3 linked regions of the Rattus norvegicus genome follow. The protein of the gene in region 3 purifies or fractionates together with the protein of the main gene of each other region. This does not show direct contact. Links are inferred from orthologs where the notes say so. Each region holds a gene or a part of one and is shown on either strand. Other genes may lie near its edges.

Region 1 (4,350 bases), on a different chromosome or scaffold from region 3:
CTGAGGGCCTTCTATGCTGGCCAAGCATGTCCATTCAGCTACACCTCAACCCCACTTCTACGCTCCTTGAACTGCATTTTGGCAGGAAGATAGTAACTTCTAGCTGGCGTGCAAGGTCATCAAGAAGTCGATTTAGTCCCCCAAACCATACGCAAAATAGGTAGACATTGCAGGGTGTCCAGTCTTTTGACATTGTGACATGATGCCATCTACAAATGGTTTGGGCTCCATTCACAGCTATCCTTGGGACCAAAGGGTGCAAGGTGAACATGCCTAGCCTTCGACTACATTCTCCGCAAGGGGTCGTAGCAGCTTTCGGATTTTCAAAGACACCTATAAGCTCAGAGGGCTAGCGACTCCTGTCTTAGGCAGGCGTGGGCGCAGTGACTACTGAAGAGGGTTATTTTCTACTCCAGATAGGAGTGAAGGGATGGCAGGAGGGGACTCCGAACCAGGCATGTGGAACTTCAGGTAATTTTCTCAATTCCCTGGAGCCACCCCCAATCTGTCTCCCTTGCAGGGATGGTACAATGAGCCCCAAGTGCATGGGGCCTGGGTATGCACTCACCCTTCGATCAAGGATAGCCAAGTACTTTGCCTGCTCCATATTGCCTCTAAGGTTCAGTAGAAGGCTAGCTCAGTAGAATGCTTGCCCAGCACATGCAAAGGCCCGAGCTTCACCCCCAGCACTGCATAAAGCCAGGTGTGCGGAGACAAGCCTGCACCCCAGCAGTCAGGAGGTAGAGGCAGGAGGACTAACAGTACAAGTTCATCCCCGGCTGCATGGTGAGTTTGAGGCCAGCCTGGGCTACGTATGAGAGACTTCATTAAAAGAAATGAAGGAAGAATGGCAAAATGATCATTGCAGATTTAAGGGGACTCTGCTGGTTATAAGAGACATGACTTGCTCCAGAGTCAAGAAGAAAGTAAACTGCCCTGGGCCCTGACTACACCCTGGCCTTGGGAACATCTTATGGGATTGTAAGAGAAAACAAACTGTAACTATTCCAAGTTCAGGTACTGAGAGTTGAGTCCCCAGCCAAAAAGTTCTCCACTTCAGTTGACAGTCAGATCTCTGAGGATTCCAGACCAGCCAACGCTACGGAGTGAGACCTTCCCTCAAAAAAGCAAAACCAGAGACGGACAATGTCATGGAACTACACAGTATAACGGACAGCTGAGGGCCCAATCTCCCAAGAGAGGCAAATGAACTTGTTTCCTACTTGGCCAAATCACCATGGCCCCGGACTGCATGCTGCTACTGTATGATAATTTGTGAGTGACAGATCAGGGTGAAGGACTTATTCTAACTCTGAAGCCTCCCCAGGCTCGGCAGCCATTCGCTCTGCTCTTAACAAACTGGAATGGCTGACCGTCATCCCTCGGTGGTCGGAGGCACTGACTGTGTGGTGCCAATAGCAAGAACATAAACAGGGACATCTATTAGGAAGTGGAGTGAAAGCAGCTGCCTTCAGTCAGGCGCCTCTCATCAGAGACAGGCAGGCACATAGACAGACAGACACGACAAGGAGCCTGAGAGAGAGAGAGGCAGAGACAGAGAGAGACAAAGACAGGCAGGCAGGCAGGCAGGCAGGCAGGCAGACAGACAGAGTGGAGCCTAGAATGTGAGTGCTGTTTAAATCCCAGATCTTCTGCCCTTCCGTTCCTCTTCAGTTAAATATGAATAAGAACAGAATCTCCCAAAAGGTTTGCACAGGATGACATGCAAACGCTAAGAACTGTGCCCAACATACTTTGAAGCCCCAATAGTTATCAGCTGTTTGCTTGTGTGTTCTTTTTTTCCTCTCTGCAATTCTTCCCCTGTATTTAGACATACCTGCACATCTGGAAACACTCTGGGGTCATAAAACCCACATGGGAGTTTAGCTTAAGTTGGTGGCTCGAAGTATGACGGAGGGGTTGCAAAGCCGTGTAGATTAGTTGCCTATCGTGCACGAAGCCCTGGGTTCACCCCACCAGCACACCAAAAGCTGGGTGTGGTGACAAACCCGGGTAATCCCAACAACTGGAAGGTGGGAGGTGGAGGCAGAAATTCAAAATCATCTTTGACCGCACAGGGGGCAGTGGGCCAGTCTGGTGTACACACACGTAAGTCCATGTCTTTAAAAAGTGTGATAAAACACCACACCAAGCCCCATGAAAAATCATCGGAGGGCGTTTTAAATTAATAAAGAGCTGTAATTTTGGGGAAACGAAATCACCAGACCCAACATCTTACCAGATGAGTCACCAGAGAATGGCTAACTGTAAAGAATGCGGGGCACAGTGTGGGGACCCGAGTCCTTCCTAAAGGCTAGGAAAAGCCGGGGTAGCCACCACACTGGCTCGGGCCGACTCCTCTCAGCGTCAATTAAACACTAGGTGCATGGAGCATAGACGGACATGGGCGGTTCCGGGCGGAGCACCGAGGTGCGGTACCAGACATCCCGGGATGCAGAAACCGATTCGGTGCCTGAGGAGATGCGCGACCCTGAGCAGGTTAGGCAGTTACCCTGACGTGAGCCAAGAGAACAGCAGCACCCCTGGACCTAGCACGGGCCCAGGCCCTGCGCATCCCGTGGCCCCGGCGCCTCAGATACCTCATCTCCTCAGACCTCCGACTCCCCAGCGTCCCGCGTCTCCCCAGATCCCCCAGCCCACGGATCCTCGGACCCCGGCTCGGCCGCACTCACCGCCTTCTTCATGGTGGCCGCCATCTTGGACTGAACCATAGGGCGCGGGGGAAGACCATCCAGGCGCGCGTCACCCCACGAGGTCCCTCTCGAGCCCTGCTGAGCCAAACTCCCCTAAAATACAGAAATATCTCCACATTACTGCCAACTATGTCTCTGACCTATGAATTCCCATGGCAAGGACGCAGAAAAAAACTATAGTCTGGAAAACACTTGGTACTTTCCAATTAAAGGGACAGGCAGCTTCCCTCTCGGCCGGCATAAATACCGAGTGAGGCCATTAGTCGGGCCTGGGATTCCAGTCACGGCCAGCAGGGGGAGCGCTTGGTAGGTACCGCCCAGCTGGGTGGGCTGGGAGGCTTAAATTCTTTTTCCCTTTCTTCAACAACCTAACACTGACGCTAGGGAGGCTGCGGGCGTGGCTTCGGCTCCTTTGGTAAAGTATTTGCACTCAAGATGAGATCCTGAGTTCTATCCACAGCCCCTACCACATAAAAGCCCAGTGCTGGCAAAGCTACAAGCTGAAGGGACTGGTATATAGGCCACCCTTGAAGTTGGCCTTAGCTTGTATGCCACTGACCACTGCAAGGGACACTAGGATGGGCTAAATGACACTAGCCAGGAGTAAATGAAACCAAACGTAAGTGACCCCAAAAGGATCTAGAGCAGTGGTTCTCAACCTTCCTAATGCTGAGACCCCTTAATACCGTTCCTTATGTTGTAGTGACCCCCCGCCCCACCCATAAAGGTATTTTTGTTGCTACTTCACTATGTAAATTTCCTATGGTTATAAGTCGTAATGTAAATAAATACCTATTTTCTGATAGCATTAGGCGACCTCTGTGAAGGGGTCGCGATCAATAGGTTGAGAACAGTTGATCTAGAGCGCTGTAACAGACTCAGACCCTTAGATGGAAGCTTACTGGATGGTTGGTTGGTTGGTTATTTATTTATTTATTTATTCATAGACAGAGTCTCTCTATGTAATCCTAGCTGTCCTGGAACTATACATGTAGACCAAGCTGGTCTCAAATTCACAGAGATCCTCCTGCCTCTGCCTCTGGAGTGCTGGGATCAAAGATATGTGCCATCATGCGTCACTGGAACGAATTATTTTACGTATTTAAAATTAGATTGGTTCAGCAATATGTGTTTCACTCACTCAAATATATTAGCCTGAGAAGGCTATCCACCCAGGGCCCAGTGGGCACCAGGCTTCCTCAGTAACCAGGGCCTTTGTTAACTTCGGGAAGCCATTTTCATTCTGCTACTTCGCAGTTGTAATACAGAATCGAATCTCAGTGGTACCTGGGGTCACGGTGGCACCGTTTTTGTTTTTGTTTTTTGTTTGTTTGGTTTGGTTTTTTGGGTTTTGTTGTTGTTGTTGTTGTTTATTTGTTTGTTTTTTAGGAACTCCTTTGTATATACGGAAAACCCCAGTCCTGAACTCTGTAACCCTTGGGCCAGACTCAGAAGGGAGAGCTAGTGTCTGGCTGCAGTGGTCAATGGCGATTCAGTAGTTGGTGGAATGTTGACTGGACCGAAAGGATACCAGACACTGGGGATGCTGCAGGTCAAACAGACAAAATACCCCGTCCTGGAGCAGCCTACTGACAGGAGACAGACCACAAACACACAGTTAAATAAGGATGGTGTG
Region 2 (4,161 bases), on a different chromosome or scaffold from region 3:
ATCACGGGGAGGACCGCAATGTTTGACCCTCATCTATTATTTTTGAGTTTTTGGGTTTTTGTTTTTTTTGAGACAAGTCTTATGCAGTCCAAGATGAACCCCAGCTCTCTATGTCATTGAGGATAACTTGAACTTTTTTAAAGTACAAAAAGATTTATTCTTATTATCTTTAATTTTGTCTACACATGTGCATGCGTGTGAGAGCATGTAAGCACAGGTGCCTGCAGAGGCTAGGGTGTGCATTCTCTGGGGACTGGAGATTACAGGTCATTGTGAGCCATCTAACGTGTGCTGAGAGTCAAGCTCTGATTCGCTGGAATAAGAGTATAAGCTCTTTTTTTTTTTTTTAAAGATTTATTTTATTTATATGAGTACACTGTAGCTGTCTTCAGACACACCAGAAGAGGGCATCGGATCCCATTACAGATGGTTGTGAGCCACCATGTGGTTGCTGGGAATTGAACTCAGGACCTCTGGAAGAGCAGTCAGTGCTCTTAACCACTGAGCCATCTCTCCAGCCCCAAGGGTATAAGCTCTTTAACTGCTGACCCATCTCTCCAGTTCCTAGTTTTAAATTTGAATCTATTCAGTGTATGTGTGCGTTCATAAGCATGTGTGGAGGTACACACATGGAAGGGAGTCAGAGGATAATTTGTGGGAATCAGTTCTCTGCACCATGTGGGTTCTCAGGATTGAACTCATTTATTTCGTTATGGTGGCAAGCACCTTTATTCCCCAGGCTGACCTGACCTTGAACGTATGATCCTCCTGCCTCAACCTACCTAGCACTTGGATCACAGGAATGCATCATCATACTCGTTTTGTACGGGGCAATTCAGAGTATCAAATGTGCTAGGCAAGCATTTAGCCAACTGAACTACACCCCAGTCAGGAATCTGATCCCAACAAACAGAATTGTCTCAAGAAGCACTGTGTCTAGAAGATATATGAGGAAGCTTCGGCAGAATTAGGTTCTTTTTAGATGAACCATATTGCTAATGGTCTTACTGGCATGCCCGAAGCTGGACTGACAGCACAGGAACTGAATGAATGATTGATGAGCTGACCGACAAACCTGTTTCAATTCCGCAGCCCAAGTGAAGATGTTTTTCTAATTGTATGTGGAGGAGCAAGTTACATCTCGGCAGTTACACGTTTATCAAATATAATCAGAATTTCAATGTTCAGGGTCATTTGTCTCGTGGCAGAGTGGTAGAGTCGGGTAGATTACAAGCTGAGAAATCTGGGTTAGTTGAGTTCACCTTTGCGCAGGCGCAGAAGGAAGCCTACCAATAAAACCTGCAAGCGCCCTTCCCCCACCCCTTTCCGGCTTGCCTCTAGCGCAGGCGCATAGTGTCCTTCAATATGGCCGCCTCCGTGGATCTGGAGTTGAAGAAGGTAAGGGGGGATTTTCAGCAGACAGACACTTCTGTTTGAATGATAAAGCGAGTAGGGACGAAAATGGGGGCGTGAGGGGGGAGGGGGAAAGCTCGCGTTTCGCTGGAGGAAGGAGACTGTAGGGGGCGGGGTCTGGCCTCCCGAAGCCTTGAGACCGGACCCGCTCTGCTTCAGGTGGAGGCTCTTGCTCGCAGGAGCTGTTTCTGGTGGGTTTAGGTTGCTGGGTCGCACGCGGGCTGGGCTGCAGTGTGTTCTTATGTTGGAACTTCAGAGACATCTCTCTGTGTTTTGGAGCCGTCGGGTACCAATTTCATAGCAAGGACTGAAGACAGTGTCTCACAGTGATGATGCCTGTCAGGATGCTTGCAGGAGAACTTGCAGTTTGGTTTCCTCATTTGATTTGAAAAACTCCAGGTTCAATCTTTGCTTTTAGGTCATTTATTCTACACTATACCTTGAAAGGTCTTTCTGTATTTACACCTCAAATAAGCAGACACTGCTTGACTCCTGTCAAGGCTCTAATCCTCCCTTCCCCATCACCTTTGTAAAGAGCTCATACACTACCCCTCCTCCCCAAGTAAGTTTTCCAAAAGACCTTTCAGAGGAATTGGATTGTTGTTGTTGTTATTATTATTTTGTTCAATCCGTTGCTTAGAAATGATTTTGTTATTTTGCTTTTTTTTTTTTAAGAGACAATGTCTCAGGGTGTTCTAGATTGACGTGGGACTTATTGCCCTTGAATTCCAGGCAGTCTTTCTGCCTCAGCCTCTTGAGTTCTGGGAATTAGTCTTGAGTCAAATGCCTGTTTATAAATGGGTTGTTAATTGGAAACATTTTTGCTACTTAACAGTCTTGGGACTGATCCTGGCTGTGCTATCTTTGTGGAGAGTTAGCTGTAATTAGAAAGGACCCTAGAACTCATTCTGTTTAAATGTACTTTTCTAGAAAGGTAAACTTCTAGTGTTTTTTTTTTTTTTTTTTTCTTTCTGGTTAGCTTGGTTTAGTTTGGTCAGGCCCTGAACCCCTAATGTACTTTAGTGCTGTTGCCTTCAGAGTATTAGGGTAACAGATATGTGCTAGGGTCCCTGGCAAGAAAAGTCTTAAAAGATTGAGCCCCAGGCAGCAAGATGGGTCAGTGGTGAAAATACTTGCCAGGCGCCTGGCTGTTTAAGTTCTATCCCTGGAACCAACGGTAGAAGGAGAGAACTACACAAAGTTGTTCTCTAATCTTAGAGGCACACACTAGTACACTGCTCGGTGCTCACACAAACAATAGTAAACACATTTTTGTTTTTTCTTTTCTTTTTTTTTTTTTTTTTTTCGGAGCTGGGGACCGAACCCAGGGCCTTGCGCTTTCTAGGCAAGCGCTCTACCACTGAGCTAAATCCCCAACCCCAGTAAACACATTTTTAAAACGGAGTCTAGCATTTGGAATTACTGTAATCCTTTTTTTTTTTTTTTTGTTCAGTAGGTTTTTTTTAGGTGAGAAACATTTTTAAAAGTTGTGTGTGTGTACATTTTGCAAGGTGCTTAGTGGAAGTCAGAGAACAATTTTTGGGAGTTAGTTCTCTCTTATGAGGTGGGTCCTGGGGATTGAACTCTTGGTATCAGGCCTTCTAGGCAAGCTGAGCCATCTACTGGCCCAGATTTGGATTCTGGTTTTGTTTTTCCCAAGAGACAGAGTCTCATGTCGCCTAGGTTGGCCTGGAACTTGGCTATGTAGTTGGCATGCACCCCTACACCCAGTTTCCCTAGTGCTAGGATTTGCACTCAGGGCTTCCTGCATTCGACAAGACCTCTCACTGGGACCTAGGGATTGCCACTTTGGCGAGATTGTCTTGTGAGCTGCTGGGACCTTTATTTCCCCCTTGCCCTTCATGCCTAGCATTAAACAACAACAAGTTGTATTTTTATGTATGTGTCTTGCCTGCATGAATGCCTGTATACCATATGTGTGCATCCCTCTCAGGCTAGAAGAGGGCTTTGCATCCCCCTGAAACTGTAGTTAACATGTGGTTGTGGGTTGCTATGTGGGTACTGGGAACCAAACCTGGTCCTCTGCAAAAGCAGCCAGTGCTTTTAACCCCTGAGCCATCCCATCAGCTCCCAAGCTCAGCCACCTTGTGGGTCCTGGGGAGTGAACCCTGGGTCAGCTGACTGCACTGTTTCCCTAGCTCCCATAAGTAACATCATAAGTAGCTGTCTCTGGTTAACCTGTGCCTAAGTAATACGACAGCTGAAACAGCTGTTCCTAATAAAAGAAGCCACTTGCTATTGTTCTGGGGATGCTAAATATGTGCATCTTTCTGCCATTCTTGTCTTGAAACATGTAAACTTAGCCTTAGATAGCATTCTCTCATGCTATAAATCTCAGCCTTGTAAGCTTTTCTTTCTTTTTCTCTTTTTCTTTTTGAGACATGGTCTCACCATGCATCCTGGACTAGCTTGGAACTCACTATATAGGTAGACTAGGCTAGCCTAGAAATCACAAGAGATCCTCCTGGGTTCTAGGATTAATGCATTTCTGTGCCTGACATGTAAATCTCAGCTATGTATCTATATCTTTATATAAAGCGTTTTCTCCTTTTATCATGTAGGTTCAGGTCCCAGGGATGGAACTCAGGTTGTTAGGCATGGTAAGAAGTACCTTTACCTGCTGAGCCATCTGTGAACCATTGTCTGTCTGTCTGCCCACCCATCTATTTATCTATTTATAGATAGATTAAAAATTAATTTTAAAATGTAGTTTGTGCATTTGAAAGT
Region 3 (3,639 bases):
GTTTATATACACACAGGCACACACATAAATATAAACATCCTGAAATCTTTAAAAAAAAAAAAACAAAAACAAAAACAAGGACTTCTGTTGTGGTTTTCCCTGGAGTTATCTGTATTTTGATGCTAATTCCACTGCCCCAAGGACAGCTGCCTAGTCACTTACTCAGGAATCAGGTGACTACACCAGAACCTTCTCCCCATTGAATTTGTAAAGTACAGGTGAGGGGCAGGTACAAGATAGAAGGAGGCCTGTCATTGGAGGAGAAGGAAGGATGGGCGGGAGAGAAGTTTGAAGGAAGAGGAGGAGACTGGAAGAGAAAGGAGGAGAGAGGAGAGGGTGAGAAGCCATGGCAGGTGATGTTAAGAGTCTGCTCTGTGTATTTACAGGTTGTTATTAATGTTCCTAAGGGATGGATGGTACCGGGCTTTGTATGTTTAAGTGGGCAATTATATCTTATCAATTGGATCCAAGATTATTGCATTGTGTGTTCTTTTATGTGAGGGTTTGAGTATAGGAGAGTGTGTGGCTGGGATGTGTTTCCGCAAGATATCTAGCAGATATCTTGGGGCACCACAGTGCAGGACCTAGTGAGGTAAAAGACACCTATACCTTTTTATTGTTTTATATTTTTACAACAACAGACTTCAGAGATGATGACTCGATGATTAGGCATATAAAAGTTCACACTGTGGGGCTGGAATGATGGCTCAGAGGTTAAGAGCACTGAGATCAGTTCCCAGCAACCACATGGGGGCTCACAACCGTCTGTAATGGGATCCAATGCCTTCTCCTGGTGTGTCTGAAGACAGCTACAGGGTACTCATATATATATAATTAAATAATTCTTAAAAAAAAAAAAAAGTATACACTGCTCTTCTAGAAGACCCAGGTTTGATTTCTAGCACCCATATCCGGCCCGTGACTCCATCACCCTCTTCTGGTCTCTGAGAACTGCACTCGTTTGCACAAACACACAGTTATCCATATAATTAAAAAAAAATCCGGGCTGGGGGTGGCAAACTGGCAAGCAGCTCAGTGGCTAAAAGAACTTAAGAGAAAAATGGTTAAAAGATTTTGCCTAGGACCCAGGCTCAATTTCCAGCACACACAGGGTGGCTCACGACCACTCACTATTCCAGCTTCAGGAAATCTGATGCCTTCTTCCGGCCTCTGGGCACTAGGCACACACAGCGTGCACATATATACATACTTCCAGGTATAATAGCACTCATCAACATGTAGTAAAAATTAATAAGTTGGGGGGAGGCATAAAAAAGCTGTGACAGACTCTTTACTGGCAAGTCTCTCTAGGTATTCCAGCAGCTCCTCCCCTCCCCCATCTCTCCCATCCAAGTCTATTGTTAAATCGCCCCCTTGTGCCTAGTAAATATCTCATACATAGAGGCATGCAGACGTATTCTACAACTTTCCCAAGATAGGTATCCATCCACTACTGCGCCTCTGTGACTTGTCCTCCCGGGGGCTGCCTCTGCTTTCTGGTTTTCACTGGCTCATTTCTCTCTTAGGTAATTGCTGGCTTTAATCGCCTTCGGCAGGAACAGAGGGGCTTGGCCTCCAAAGCAGCTGAGCTGGAGATGGAACTGAATGAGCATAGGTAAGAATGCCGCAGAGAGACAGTATTGGAGGGAGGCTTGCAGGGGAGCAGGACTATTCTGAGGTCTTGTCTTGCTCTCCTACCCTACCTAGCCTGGTGATCGATACGCTGAAGGAAGTGGATGAGACCCGCAAGTGCTACCGCATGGTTGGCGGTGTGCTGGTAGAGCGGACGGTCAAGGAGGTGCTGCCTGCCTTGGAGGGTAACAAGGAGCAGGTGAGCACAGATCCCTGAGGTGGCATTCGGGCAATCAAGAGGTTAAATATGGGTGGCCAGGGATTTAGGGAATGCGAGGAAAGAAAGTCCAGGCAGAAATTCATGTTGACAGTATATTATGTCTGTTGGCTATATGCTATGTCCTTTATAAGTCAAAAGTCCAACTCCTGAAGTGAGGAGTTGTTGGCTGTGGCCCCTTTCCATGGGCCCTTTGATGTGGTTGAGTTGGGAGGGGAATGGGTAGAGCAGTTTCTTACAATATAGTCTGGATCCCTGAGTCAGAGTCACCTGAAGAACTTGTTTAGCAGTGTTGGGCATCAAACCCAGGGCCTTATGCACAGCAGGCTAAATACTCTATCATTGGGCTATGCCTCCATCCAAGAACCAATTTAAACTGTAACTTCTTAGGATATCTCTGGATCCGTGGAGCCAAACCCTTGAAGAAACCATAAGTGACATTTCAAAGGAAGAAAGAGTCCTGACTGGGATGTCATACATTGGTGATTAACTTGCTGAGATGATGAGGCAGGAGAATCTTGGGTTTGAAGCCTGCCTAGGCTAACTATAAAACAATCAATAAAAAAAGAATGTGACCTAAAAGAAGGAACGATAGCATCATAAATGCTCTTTAAAAAACAAGCAACCCTGGGCTGGAGAGATGGCTCAGTGATTAAGAGCACCGACTGCTCTTCCCGAGGTCCTGAGTTCAAATCCCAGCAACCACATGGTGGCTCACAACCATCTGAAATGAGATCTGATACCCTCTTCTGGTGTGTCTGAAGATAGTGACAGTGTAATCATAATATATAATAAATAAATATTTAAAAAACAAGCAACCCACCCTCCCTGGGGAGCCACTGAGGACTGAAGGTTGCTAGAGATGGGGCAGTCATTGTCTTAAGTGATGTATCCCCTGGCAAGCTGCTCCTGTGGCTAGCCCACAAGGGTGCCCTGGTTAGACCCATGGGTCACAAAACAAAACAGAAATATGATTTTGAGATGGGTTGTGTTGGTGGCCAGTGGGTAAGAGTGGGGTTAAGTTTGAGAAGAATAATTATATACTTTTATAACATTATCAAAGAATAGTGAAAGCAAGTAGCCCAGATGTTCCCTTTTATAAGCCACTCACTGTGTTTGAGAATTCACTTGAGAGTCTGGGCTTTGCTGATGCTGGGCTAAAAGGTGAGCTTAAATGTGTTGTTTCACTGCCTCTAACCATAGCACATTCCAGGTCAGAGGAGGGAGACCTGCAATCCTTCTGTATCCTCTTTTCTTTGCCTTTTAGATACAAAAGATCATTGAGACACTGTCACAGCAGCTTCAGGCAAAGGGAAAAGAACTCAATGAATTCCGGGAAAAGCACAACATTCGTCTTATGGGAGAAGATGAGAAGCCAGCAGCCAAGGAAAACTCAGAAGGAGCTGGGGCTAAGTCCAGCTCAGCAGGGGTGCTGGTCTCTTAGGGACTAAGGCCTCTGCATTCTATTTTACCCTGATTCCCACTTCTAATTTCTTTTTATTGTTATTATTATTTTTCTGCTATTGTAATTTTTTTGTTGTTGTTAATTAAATGTTTTGGTCAAATACTTAACTGTAGCCTGAAACTCTCTTACTTAGGGCTACACTGACAGCATACAGCTGGGCATGGTGGCAGACATATCTTAGTGCTGGGGACACAACAGGAGGCAGATCTCTGAGTTCCAGGCCAGCCCAGTGTACAAAGCGAGTCCGCAGTCATCCAAGGCTATATAGTGAGACCCTGCCTCAAACAAAACAGAAAGATAACTTGGTTTTGTTCTTTCTACCAGG

The links.
Region 1: the proteins of Pfdn2 (region 3) and Pfdn4 purify together in Homo sapiens (affinity purification with mass spectrometry; 6 studies listed by BioGRID and IntAct, counting the BioPlex papers as one, with this or other methods). This does not show direct contact. The link is inferred for Rattus norvegicus from reciprocal best matches to the Homo sapiens genes PFDN2 and PFDN4.
Region 2: the proteins of Pfdn2 (region 3) and Pfdn1 purify together in Homo sapiens (affinity purification with mass spectrometry; 5 studies listed by BioGRID and IntAct, counting the BioPlex papers as one, with this or other methods). This does not show direct contact. The link is inferred for Rattus norvegicus from reciprocal best matches to the Homo sapiens genes PFDN2 and PFDN1.

What each region holds. Positions count from the first base shown.
Region 1 is NC_086021.1:179,720,238-179,724,587, reverse strand, and holds the start of Pfdn4 (prefoldin subunit 4), read right to left. Parts: upstream 2,824-4,350; 5' UTR 2,733-2,823; coding exon 2,694-2,732; intron 1-2,693. UniProt on the Homo sapiens protein: Binds specifically to cytosolic chaperonin (c-CPN) and transfers target proteins to it. Binds to nascent polypeptide chain and promotes folding in an environment in which there are many competing pathways for nonnative proteins.
Region 2 is NC_086036.1:28,338,301-28,342,461, reverse strand, and holds the start of Pfdn1 (prefoldin subunit 1), read left to right. Parts: upstream 1-1,338; 5' UTR 1,339-1,365; coding exon 1,366-1,398; intron 1,399-4,161. UniProt on the Homo sapiens protein: Binds specifically to cytosolic chaperonin (c-CPN) and transfers target proteins to it. Binds to nascent polypeptide chain and promotes folding in an environment in which there are many competing pathways for nonnative proteins.
Region 3 is NC_086031.1:86,319,323-86,322,961, forward strand, and holds part of Pfdn2 (prefoldin subunit 2), read left to right. Parts: intron 1-1,526; coding exon 1,527-1,615; intron 1,616-1,707; coding exon 1,708-1,831; intron 1,832-3,116; coding exon 3,117-3,293; 3' UTR 3,294-3,639. UniProt on the Homo sapiens protein: Binds specifically to cytosolic chaperonin (c-CPN) and transfers target proteins to it. Binds to nascent polypeptide chain and promotes folding in an environment in which there are many competing pathways for nonnative proteins.